3 linked regions of the Oreochromis niloticus genome follow. The protein of the gene in region 3 interacts with the protein of the main gene of each other region in a biochemical or structural test. Links are inferred from orthologs where the notes say so. Each region holds a gene or a part of one and is shown on either strand. Other genes may lie near its edges. The genes, in order: nutf2, ipo11 and ran.

Evidence for each region.
Region 1: the proteins of ran (region 3) and nutf2 form a complex in vitro, tested with the Homo sapiens proteins (3 studies listed by BioGRID, with this or other methods). The link is inferred for Oreochromis niloticus from reciprocal best matches to the Homo sapiens genes RAN and NUTF2.
Region 2: the proteins of ran (region 3) and ipo11 form a complex in vitro, tested with the Homo sapiens proteins (2 studies listed by BioGRID). The link is inferred for Oreochromis niloticus from reciprocal best matches to the Homo sapiens genes RAN and IPO11.

What each region holds. Positions count from the first base shown.
Region 1 is NC_031972.2:6,987,403-6,991,155, reverse strand, and holds the start of nutf2 (nuclear transport factor 2), read right to left. Parts: upstream 2,396-3,753; 5' UTR 2,260-2,395; intron 2,166-2,259; exon of another isoform or gene 2,038-2,165; intron 1,139-2,037; 5' UTR 1,116-1,138; coding exon 1,017-1,115; intron 1-1,016. UniProt on the Homo sapiens protein: Mediates the import of GDP-bound RAN from the cytoplasm into the nucleus which is essential for the function of RAN in cargo receptor-mediated nucleocytoplasmic transport.
Region 2 is NC_031977.2:22,985,776-22,989,528, forward strand, and holds the start of ipo11 (importin-11), read left to right. Parts: upstream 1-925; 5' UTR 926-1,070; intron 1,071-3,753. UniProt on the Homo sapiens protein: Functions in nuclear protein import as nuclear transport receptor. Serves as receptor for nuclear localization signals (NLS) in cargo substrates.
Region 3 is NC_031966.2:22,420,164-22,423,916, reverse strand, and holds ran (GTP-binding nuclear protein Ran), read left to right. Parts: upstream 1-990; 5' UTR 991-1,144; intron 1,145-2,034; 5' UTR 2,035-2,059; coding exon 2,060-2,092; intron 2,093-2,235; coding exon 2,236-2,320; intron 2,321-2,547; coding exon 2,548-2,673; intron 2,674-2,779; coding exon 2,780-2,967; intron 2,968-3,061; coding exon 3,062-3,232; intron 3,233-3,349; coding exon 3,350-3,394; 3' UTR 3,395-3,735; downstream 3,736-3,753. UniProt on the Homo sapiens protein: GTPase involved in nucleocytoplasmic transport, participating both to the import and the export from the nucleus of proteins and RNAs. Switches between a cytoplasmic GDP- and a nuclear GTP-bound state by nucleotide exchange and GTP hydrolysis.

The sequences.
Region 1 (3,753 bases), on a different chromosome or scaffold from region 3:
TTAACCAAAAAAAAAAAAAAAAGTGAACTAAACGAAACATGCTACTACGTAGACAGGAGTGAGTTTGGGTAAAAATCAACACAAAAACTAAGGACTTTTTAGAAAACACTATTCTTTTCATTCACCATGTTTTCTGACTCAGTCTTGTCGCATTGTTTAGAACTAAATGACAGCAAAACTGAGGCTATTTTATTCAGCCCTCCCAGCCCCACAAACATCTTCACTGAGTTACTTGCTCATTTATCCAGATATGTCGACACTGTCATTAAAAATCTTGGTGCTTTTATTTCCTTAACTTTTAACAATCAAATCAGGAATTTTGTCAAAAGCCGCTTGACAACATTCACCAACTGAGAACCATCACCAAATGAAAACTAGTTTTGTATCCAAAGAACTAAAGAGTTATCAATGCCTTTATCACCTCTCAGCTGGACTACAGCAATTCCCTGTGTGTAGGATTGCCCAATTGCACTTTCTTTCATTTACAAATGGTTCAAAGCACAGCCGCTCAACTCGTACGAGTAAGCAAAGCTGTTTTAGCTAAGCTGCGCTGGCAACCTGCAAAGTTTTGAATATATTTAAACATTATTTGTTTTAAAGCCCTCTATGGATTAGCTCAACAAATATATTACAGATCTTTTAACTCCACATCACATCACTGAGGTCATCATCACAATAACTTCTCTTGGTGTCCTTTTCTCACATAAAATCTAAAAATGACCAAGACTTTGCAAATATTGCCCCTAGGCTCTCGAACTGTCTGCCACTTCTATATTTTATTTTTTTTAACTGTTGTCTGACATATTTCTCAGTTATAAATTTTAATATGCTGCCTGTCTGTTATGCAAGCTATGTGTTTGTAAAACACTTTAAAATGTGCCATATACATAAAGTGACCTGAGTGGACAATACCTAAATCCTAAATCATAAGGATTACAAACTCGAAATTAAGGAAAGTGAGCTTATTACAGCAAGTGTTTACTCATAAACACCTACATAAGACAAGTCCAACTCACATATATAGATCCCAGTTGTGATCTGTCAGAGTCAAACATCTGATAGTAGTGCTGCACAAAGCTGGATCCTATCTGCTCCCACAAAGGCTGGTCCACCATCCTGAATCACCCTGCAACTCACACTGAGCGTGTGGGAGAGAGCGAGTCAGACAAACGTAATGAGATAAGAAAAAGGGCAATGCATAGAAAAAACAACAACAACAACAGCACCACCACCACCACCACCACCAGCAGCCTCCCACTTATATCAAAACTAATTTATAGTCACCAGATGTCAACATAAGCTTCAGATTTCTGAAAACCCTCTTGGACAGCCCTCACTACCATAATTCAAGACAGTATTCTGGGATGATGTTGTTTTATAGAATCAAGCTCTTAAAGCAGCGAACAGTACAATAGACTGTACAGTACACATTGCTTTGATTTTTGTTAAAATTTTTTAAAAGAAAAATATGTTTTTAACTAAAGACCACAAAAAAATAGCATATAGATCCTGTTTCATTGACAAAAATAAAGGTTAAAATTACTTATACTGAATGAGCCAAAGTATATTTTGCTGCAACGGATCCCTCCGCTCGGGTGACACTGACAGCCCAAGTCATGTGCTCCCACATAACGATACACGGCTGTTACTGGAACAATCCGAGCGCTCTGCACATTAGCAGTAGACTGCGAGCAACATACCCCGAATTGCGACCACACATAAGTAGTTCAGGGCCCCGTAAATATAGTCAGAAGTAAAGGGAGATTGAGGAAACATGAGCAAGTAACGTTAATGTACGAAAAAGCTCATTTTTAACTACTTAACTCTAGCTAACTAGCTGCTGCTAGCTTGTGTCATGTTTGCTAATGTTGACTCAGCCTGTGCTAGCACAGACAGTTCATATACGTAGCATGTCTCCTCGCCAGCCAATGTTAGGCGTCAGATAAATTATATTTCCAGGCGTTAGCTGATCGGCCAGCTGGTAGTAGCCTGTTCACCAGTTACTAAAAATACCCCGTCTGCTTTGAGTGTTCATACCTCTTGCGGGCCCGCGCGCACAGCTCTGGAACCCCGAAGCAGCTACTCTACATAGGCGTGTCCGTCGTTAGCCCCAAACCGGCCAATAGCAACCGATTTAATAACTTATACCGCGTCAGGCTTGTTCAAATGTCAGATTAAACTAGCGCTTTTTGTTTTCGAACATGTTTCCATTCACTATTTTGTAAGGGGGCACCATAAAAACTAGTAATAAAAACTTACCTCTTACGCCGAGGCCGGCTGCACGATCGCACAGTGCAATGTCTGCTCCGCTACGAGGGTACGTACAAAAAGCCGTAAAAGGCCCGATGCATTATGGGGATTGTAGTATATACTCAAAACACGCTCAATTTGCTCGTCTGTCACATTTGACATAATACTGCCACATTCTGATACATACTATATAAAGATATGTCTATTTAAAAGTGTGTCATTTCCAAATCACACGTTTTGATGATTTCTGAAGTGAAAAAACAATAAAAACCCATGGAGTAACAGACAATAAAAATGGTAAGTCAAAAATGGTTTTATTTTATTTGATGTACAAAGATTAAATGTGCTACAGTCACCACTGTCCAGCAAGAACACTTACATTACATTAGCTTTTAAAATGACATCAATTTGCAGCACAAAACAGATTTAGTAATTTGTAACTTGTGCCTTTATTGTTCTCTTAGGTTAGGTTGCTGAGTCCACCAGACTGAGAAAAAACGCATAAGCAAAGCTTTTTACCCAAACACGATTTATTTCTGCAGTCAGCAGCAGTAAAGGCCACCGCAAATAGATCCACAAACCAACACACCCTGGTTTGTTAAAAACATCAGATCTACATTGCACAAATTAGGTTTCGATAATTAAATAAAATATACTAATTTGTTTGAGTTTTATTCAATATTAGGGGTTACTGTCAGTTGCCAGTTCTTGGATTCCTTATATTTGTACAGTCAATCAAAAGGCATTTAAATGCACACTTGATGAATACCACTGACACAGAAATAAATAAATCTATTCTCTTACTATTTTAGTTAGTTTCTATAGTTAGCAACTATCTATCTATTTACTGAATTATTTTTACAAATGAAGTGCAGCTCATATGGGTTGTGAACCTTCTCAGAATAAATCCTTGAGATTATATAATAACCCTGTTAATATCAGGGCATTGGGGAATCTTTTATTGAGCCCTAGGTTGCAAAGCATTTTTTAACAGTCAAAGATTGGAAGACATTTTCAAACATGCTATCAGCATTTGAAATATAAAACTGGCAGAGAAAGGTGCTTATCTGGGGTGGACATATTACCATTAGCAGCACATTAACTTATCTGTTTCTGCAGAGCATGGACTACAACGTCACTGAGCCTCACCGCTTTCCTTGTTTTGGTCCTGAAAGAAATTAATTTTACTACATGTGTTGCTATCTACTCTCAAGCTACAAGTAACACATGTTTAAATACTAAAATTCTCCCATTAATAGGCTACACAAAACTGCCTGATTACATCAACGCCAAGGTGCTGAGGACCTGTGCTAGCCAGCTGCCCATGATCCTGAGTCACATTTACAGCCAACGTTTGAAACAGGAGATGATATCAGTATTAGGGAAAACATCCTGTCTAGTTCCTGTACCAAAAACCTCAACACTATTAAGAATTTAAAGCCTATTGACCACTTGCCATTACATCATATTTAATGAAGATTGTCGAGAGATAAGTACTGTCCA
Region 2 (3,753 bases), on a different chromosome or scaffold from region 3:
CAAACAAGCAACTAAACAAAAACTGAACTGAAATGAGAAAGCCCACCCGGAAACGTACTAAAACTAATGTACTGAACTGAAAAAAAAAGATAATTAAAGGAAATCAGGAATTTAAGTAATCATGAAACTGTATATCTGAATATTGCATGGTCTCTATGCAAGTCTAAATAGATTAGATATATTAAACAAGACACTAAAATGTCCTTTAGTATGTGCTTGGCACTATCAAAAAGAATAATAATATGTCCTACTATTCTTATGCAGATGATACAAAGTTGCGCTTTTTATTTTCTTTAATCATCTAACTACTGTTCACAGTTTAATAAGCTGCACTGATAATATTAACTGATGGATGTATAGAAACTTTTCAGAACTGAACAGAGACAAGACAGAAAAATTTGTGATTACACCAAAAATGTCAGATACAGAATTTTGTCCATGTTTATCTTCTTCTCTCTGAACACAGTGAGCAAGTCAGGAACCTTGGCATTATTTTGGAACGTGATCTCAGTTTGGATAATTATACTAATAACGTCACCAGAACAGCTTTCTACCACTTAACAAGTGTATGAAAAGTTAGAAAATATATTTCTGAGACTGACTTTGAAAAATGGTCTATGCATTCATATCAAGCAGGCTAGACTACTGTAATGATCTGTTTGCCAAATCATCAGTAGGATTACTTCAGCTTGTTCAGAATACAGTGGCCAGAGTCCTTACAGGTGCATTGAAATTTGAACATATTACCCCAGTACTGAAGTAACTTCACTGGTTCCCAGTTCAGGACGGAATTAACTTTAAAATCCTTCCTACGAAAACAAACAAACAAACAAAATACAAAAATTCAGCAGCCAGATTTTTTGGTGTCAGTATACTAAACAGCGATTGGCTCTCTTTACTCATGATGAAAGCAGCCTGCCGCTGATCCTACGTCATCAACACGCGCCTGCTGTTCTCCCCGCGCCATTCCTACAAGCGTGTGTTTCCAGCTCTCATTACATTACCACTGGCAGCGCTTTAGCAGCCACTGTTACAAGCACAGATTCTGTTTTCTACTGCTTTTCTTTTAGGTGAGTCCAGTTTCATATATCTTTGTAGAAATATTTAATTGGTTGCCAGGACAAATACTACTGACGGACGTTGGTTTGGATAGAATAAGTTCAAGCTTGCTAGCTAGCCAGCCCAAAGTTAGCTTTGGTGTTTTGGGGTATATGCACGATTATGAACTCTGCCCACCCGGTTCTTTAGTGAGTGAGTGGTATTTTGATTATACATGACACGCACTGGGGCAAGACTACAGCAAGTTGGACTATATTTGCGAATCCTACAGCAGTAGTAAAAGTCAAATGTGAATCGCATTAGTTTAAAATTTCTGCCCCACTATTACCCCACGGCACTGAGCTTGTTTTGGTTCCTTCTGTGCTTCAGAAACAAACTAACCCACTGCGTAGACTTGTTAGCGACTGCGTTTGTATAATCATAACAAATCCATGCTTTGACTAAAGGCCTGTAGACACATTTAGCTATATATAGTGTAAAATGTCCAGGCGTGTGTTACCGTAGCTTTAGTTAGAGGTAAATCAGTAAATGTACCGCTAGCCCCTGCAGTTACCACCCTAGCTTTCTTGTCAACCGAGCCAACATTTGACAGCAAGCTAGTGTTAGCGACAGAAGCTACGGCAAGTGCAAAACAATATTTAGCTGCCTACCGCTGGATTAGCCTCATGTGTTGGCAATTTACGCGTGGGTGATATAACCCCCAAATTATATCACGATATTCAGGTACTAGCATTTAGTGTATGTAAATTAAGGAGTATTTTCTATCCTTTCCCAATTAGCTGTTGTAGTGATTAGAGTGATTACTGAAAGAAGGTGCCAGCAGCTTTAAATCCAGTGACACAGCATAAGTCAAATGTAAGAAGAAAAGTAACACTTTTAGCTTAACAATAAATAAAGTATCTTAACCTTGTAACGCTTCAGAAACTGCAGAGCATCGTCAGATAATAAAACTAGAAAATATTTTCTGCGTGGGATGATCTCTCCTGTGTTGAGCTTTTTAACAGAATGCGAAACCCCTTGCTTTTCCACTGTGCAATTTTACGTCGATCTTTTCCTCTTCATGTAAACTAGTGAGGGCTACAACAGTGGTAATTGGAGTAATTTGTTTGAGTCACACATCATTAGGTGCTAGTATATCTTCCTTTGTAGCTTGGTTGTACTCAGTGGCCTGTTTTTGTCTCAAGTGGCAAAACAAGTTTGTTTATTCTATCTTCAGTGGGAACAGCTTTCTTTCCCTCTTTTGTGCTTTGTTGGAGGTTATTGAAGGTTATTGAAGTAGCTACCTAGGTACTAAATAGTAATTTGAGGTTGATACATTGGTCTTGCTCCTGCAGTCAGACTTGCCTCAGTTTTGTCTCATTACACTCACCAAGGAGTGTAAATAGCAATTATATCACGATATGACATTTTAATGTCATTTTTATATCATGTTATATATCAAACAGCCCCAACTGACAGCATAACAATTTAACTTAGGTTACAGATGAAACTGCTGTTTTCAAATTCCAAGAAATTAAACAGCCCATGTTTAAATCCTTGCCTTTCGGGTAAAGGTTTTCCTGTAGTGGTGAAATACTGGTATGCAGATTTGGATTGTGGATGTTGTGGATGAACAAGTTTAAGGTTGTGAATCTTACAGTGGTAAAAAAAAACAAAAAAAAAAAAACCCAGTATGTGATCAGAACAGAGCACATTCTCATACTGCATGTCACTGTAGGGAAAGCAAAAAACTGTCTAAGTGCTTTGTGTTTTTGGTGTTTTTTTTTTCTGGTAAAAGTTAAATCATGTGTCATGAAAAAGAGGTTTGGTATATTACAGTGGTCTACTGACTATCACCATTTCAATGATTTCTTTAACTAAAATACCCACCAAGAGTAAGCTAGATAATCCTGAAACAATCTTGAGATTCAGTTTCCACTCCGGAAATTGCCACTGAAACCATATTTAAATCACTTCAAAATAGTTTAAAATGTTGCTCTGTAAACCTTCTTTGTATAAAACAGCTGTCTATGACAGTGAGATTATATCAGTAGACAATGTCCTAGCAAACCAGGAAGCTCACACAGGTGAGTTTTCTAAATGGATGATATTTTATTACATTACAGTAAAAGATGAGCACGACTCAAACTCATAATGCTGCTGATTGGAGTCAATATGCAGATTCTGTGTTATCAGAATTTCTTTCAGTAATGCTTTAATAATGTATTCCACCTCACCAGAAATTTGTGCTATAACATCACTAACAATAGGAAAATAAGTTATTATATTAAAGCATATATTACCTAAATAAACATTTTTAATAGATGGTATTTAATAGGAACTGCCTGGCAAAATCACAATGCCGTCATTGTTCATCCAAAGGCTTATTTCATTTGCCACTACATGCTCACTTAAAGCCCTTCCATTAGTACCTACTCAGGTCAGCTCAGCAGTGCTCGACATGGTTTTTAGGTTTTTCATTAAGTGATAGTACCTAAGGTAAACTTGGTGTATACCTTAGGTACTATGTGTGGGCTGCCTTGGTAATCCCAAGTCCAACGGATGTAACCTTTTTGTATTTCAGTATAATTTTATTGTTTTGTTGTTAAGTTTCACTGCAGAGAGCGGAACATCTTTATTTACTTTTTGATCTAACCTCAGCAGTATTGGTCTTGCATGGGGAGGAGGAGTTTGGGGACAGAGCCTGTCCTCCTG
Region 3 (3,753 bases):
ACTTTTTGATGTTGAACTTGCACAATTTATATATACACAATGTGGGACAGACCATTTTCTGTAGCTCGTCAAAGCTTGCAATATAAGAGTATATTATTTGAAATGTTTGTTTTAAAGATATTGACAGACCTGTTGCAAATTGAATTAACTGAATTGGAAAGGGGAAAAAACCTTTGAAACTGAGAAGATGTGTTTTGTGCTTTTCTGTTTATTATATTATATCAAAAACTTGACTCTTGTTGGACCAAAACCCTTACATTAAGTGAGTTAATGACTGTGTTTTTAATGGTTTATTAGGCTGTTGTTATACGGTTGTAGCCTCCATTGTAACTATTGCTGTTTGCAGTTGTGATGCAAATAAATTACTTTTAAATTTTTAGTCAATAGAAACAAAATAAATATAATTAAATATGGTTGTTCAGTGTTTACTGGATTATCTGCTTTTTTGAGTTGCTTAATAAATGAAAATGATTAATTAAAATGAAATGTTTTTATTGACTTTTTTTTTAAGGATTTTGCATTTTCACTGAATTGGTGTTTCAACTGACTTTCACCTGTGTCAAAATTAAAACGCACTTGTGTTTTTGAAGCCAGCTGTGGTAAACAGATGGTAGTTATAGATATTATTATTGTTGTTGTAGTACACAAAGAAAGAAAATAACTTTTCATTCACTGACTTTTGTGTGGTAAAAAGTGTACCAATATTACTTGGTCTGACCTACGAAGCATCTTTGGCTGTTAGTAGGATAACACTAAACATTTTGGGTATTGGGCTCTTTTGTCTGCCACATGTGCATCCAAAAGTTGTTCAAGGAAACGAGGACGTTGCTGCTATCCTGTGTTTTTTAACAAGTTACCTCAGAAATAAACAGCTCGTAACCATACACAGCTGCCCAGCCTTAGCTGCTTGTCTGTAGTGGGAAATTATGCTTTTCTAGCTGCATGTGAATGTCCTTTAGGGTTGGATAAGTGTGTTTAAATAAAGACTGAATGCTGAATCACGTTCAGTTAGGACCGTGTTGCTTCATGATGCGTTTTTGCCGCTGCGAGGGTCACATGATAAGGGCGGAAACTGACTCATAGTCCACGCTGAATCTCCCGCGAACGCAGCCATTTACTCTTTCCTCTCTTCGAAGTGTTACCGGTGAGTCTCTGAATTCCTCTCACAATGCGGGCTATCATATATTTCAAGTTTGCATTCTTTGGGGAGAAAAGTCAGTTAAAACAATGGGCAGCTTTAAATCTTTGTCTTGCGATTTTGTAGCTGTATCCACGTGAGGAATGGGGCAACCGGGGAAGGCCGGTGGTTTTTCTTATGCGGCTAACTAGCTGTTAGCTCGATAAAAAGAATGGCTTCCATGCTGTGCTAGCTAACAGGTTAGCATGCACGGCTATCCCTCATTTTTTTTCTGCTTTGTTCTTGGGACTCGCGCGTATTCCTGTAAATACATAGTCAGTATTTTTGACAAAATATATTGTGGATGCGTGGAGTTACATTCATGTGTAGGGTACTATTTAGGCTGGGTTTGACTTGAAGTGTAGCGTGGAACACATTAGATGGGCTTCCAGTCGGATTGTTTCAGTCGAACAAGAAAAAGTGCGCTCGCCCGTCGTGTGGCGCACTCAATCTAACGTTTTTAGCTTTCCTAGCTAGCAGCCGTTGGTGTTGAAATGCGCATTTAGAAGCGCGCTTTCGTAATTTTCCATTGAATGCAAATATACATTAAACACACAAAATGAATTAAACCTTTTTTCACAACATAGGTGCACCGTTACACGTTTACTCGTTACATGTGTGAACGTTAGCTTGGATGGAAAATGCTAGAAGTTATGGCTATGTAACAAGCTATGGAGTTTAGCTAAACGACAAAATCGTAGAAAACCGCTCAAAACACCAAAATAACATCTCAACAAATCATAGCTTATGTCATATTTTGTCTTCTTGAAATGCCATTTAAAGGAGTTGCTAGCACTGCTAGTTAGTGTTGACGGACAACGTGCTAATCAACCGTCCCGCCTCGTTTTATTTAACAGAAAAGTCGCAACCACGGCGGACTCAATGGCACAGTGTGTTCCGGTGGCGGTGTTTAAGGTAAGTGCTTGCAGTCTAAGATAAATTGATGTTCCATTTCTCAGCCTTTTAACTAAATGAAGCACCGCTGTCTGTGCTAACAACGGTCAATGTGGTGAACCAGTACCAACCAGTCTAGACTAACTGTACGCTCTGCATCGCAGTTGGTTTTGGTAGGAGATGGAGGCACCGGGAAAACGACTTTTGTGAAGAGGCATATCACAGGAGAGTTTGAGAAGAAATATGTTGGTGAGTACTCGCTTCCCAGGAAGGAAATCAGCTCATTCTTCTGGTCTCAATGAGTTAAAGATGCGGTGATAGATTTGAAAGGAGGATGTATGATGCCAAATGTGTTAAATGGAACTATAGGGAGCAACATGTCCTGCATGCCCCTTCCTCAGATAAAATATGACTGTCTTCATCACTGTTTACACCTTCCTTCTCCTTATTCATTATGTCTTTGCTTGAAATTTCAGCTACTCTTGGAGTAGAGGTGCACCCACTGATTTTCCACACCAACAGAGGAGCAATCAAGTATAATGTGTGGGACACAGCCGGTCAGGAGAAGTTTGGAGGCCTGAGAGATGGCTACTACATTCAAGGTGCTCCTCGCATCCTTCGCATGCTGCTCGAGTTTCACGTTTTTAAAATTCATGTACCTTGGCTTTAGCTGAACAATACGTTAATGCTTTCTTGCTTCCTCAACAGCTCAGTGTGCTATCATCATGTTCGACGTCACTTCTCGAGTCACCTATAAGAACGTGCCCAACTGGCATCGTGACCTGGTCCGTGTCTGTGAGAACATTCCCATTGTTCTTTGTGGCAACAAGGTGGACATCAAAGACAGGAAAGTCAAAGCCAAGAGCATTGTGTTTCACCGCAAGAAGAACCTGCAGGTAATAACTGCTTGCAAAAATGTGTATTTTTGAATTGCAGAAACAACTTTTGAGTTTTGTCATTTCTAACTGCTGCAAATTTTTCTATCTGCAGTACTACGACATTTCTGCCAAGAGTAACTACAACTTTGAGAAGCCTTTCCTGTGGTTAGCAAGGAAGTTGATCGGTGATCCCAACCTGGAGTTTGTGGCAATGCCTGCCCTTGCTCCCCCAGAGGTCCAGATGGACCCATCCCTTGCTGCTAAGTATGAGGAAGAGCTTCAAGTGAGTATCACTGTACAGACTCATTTGTGTGATTTAGATGAATTTATTGTAAATTTTACTTGAGCATCTTCTAAATGTGGAACAATCTGAGACTTGACTTTGTTCTTCCATATCCAGGTTGCATCACAAACAGCACTCCCAGATGAAGAAGATGACCTCTAACCTGTTACCTAGATTTGTCCCTCCCTCCTCCCCCACCTGTGGACAGGAAGTCGTTGGAGTTTTGCCCCCTTACTGTAAAATCCCTTTTCAGATTTTTTTATTTTTGAATTTTTTTTGTTTTAAAACTTAAGTAAAAAAGAAAAAAACTTGGTGGAAAAGTTGTGGTTCTAATTTCACTGTATGACACACACCCACCCTAGTGTTGTTGTTGGCATGGCAACGTGCTACTCTTCATCGTCGAGCACCCTCCATTGCACTTACCCAGCTCACATAATGCTGTTGTACGGTGTACTGGAAGCACTAAGGGGAGTAAACTTTGAATAAAAACATTCTCGATATAACACGGCCGTTTGTGTTGT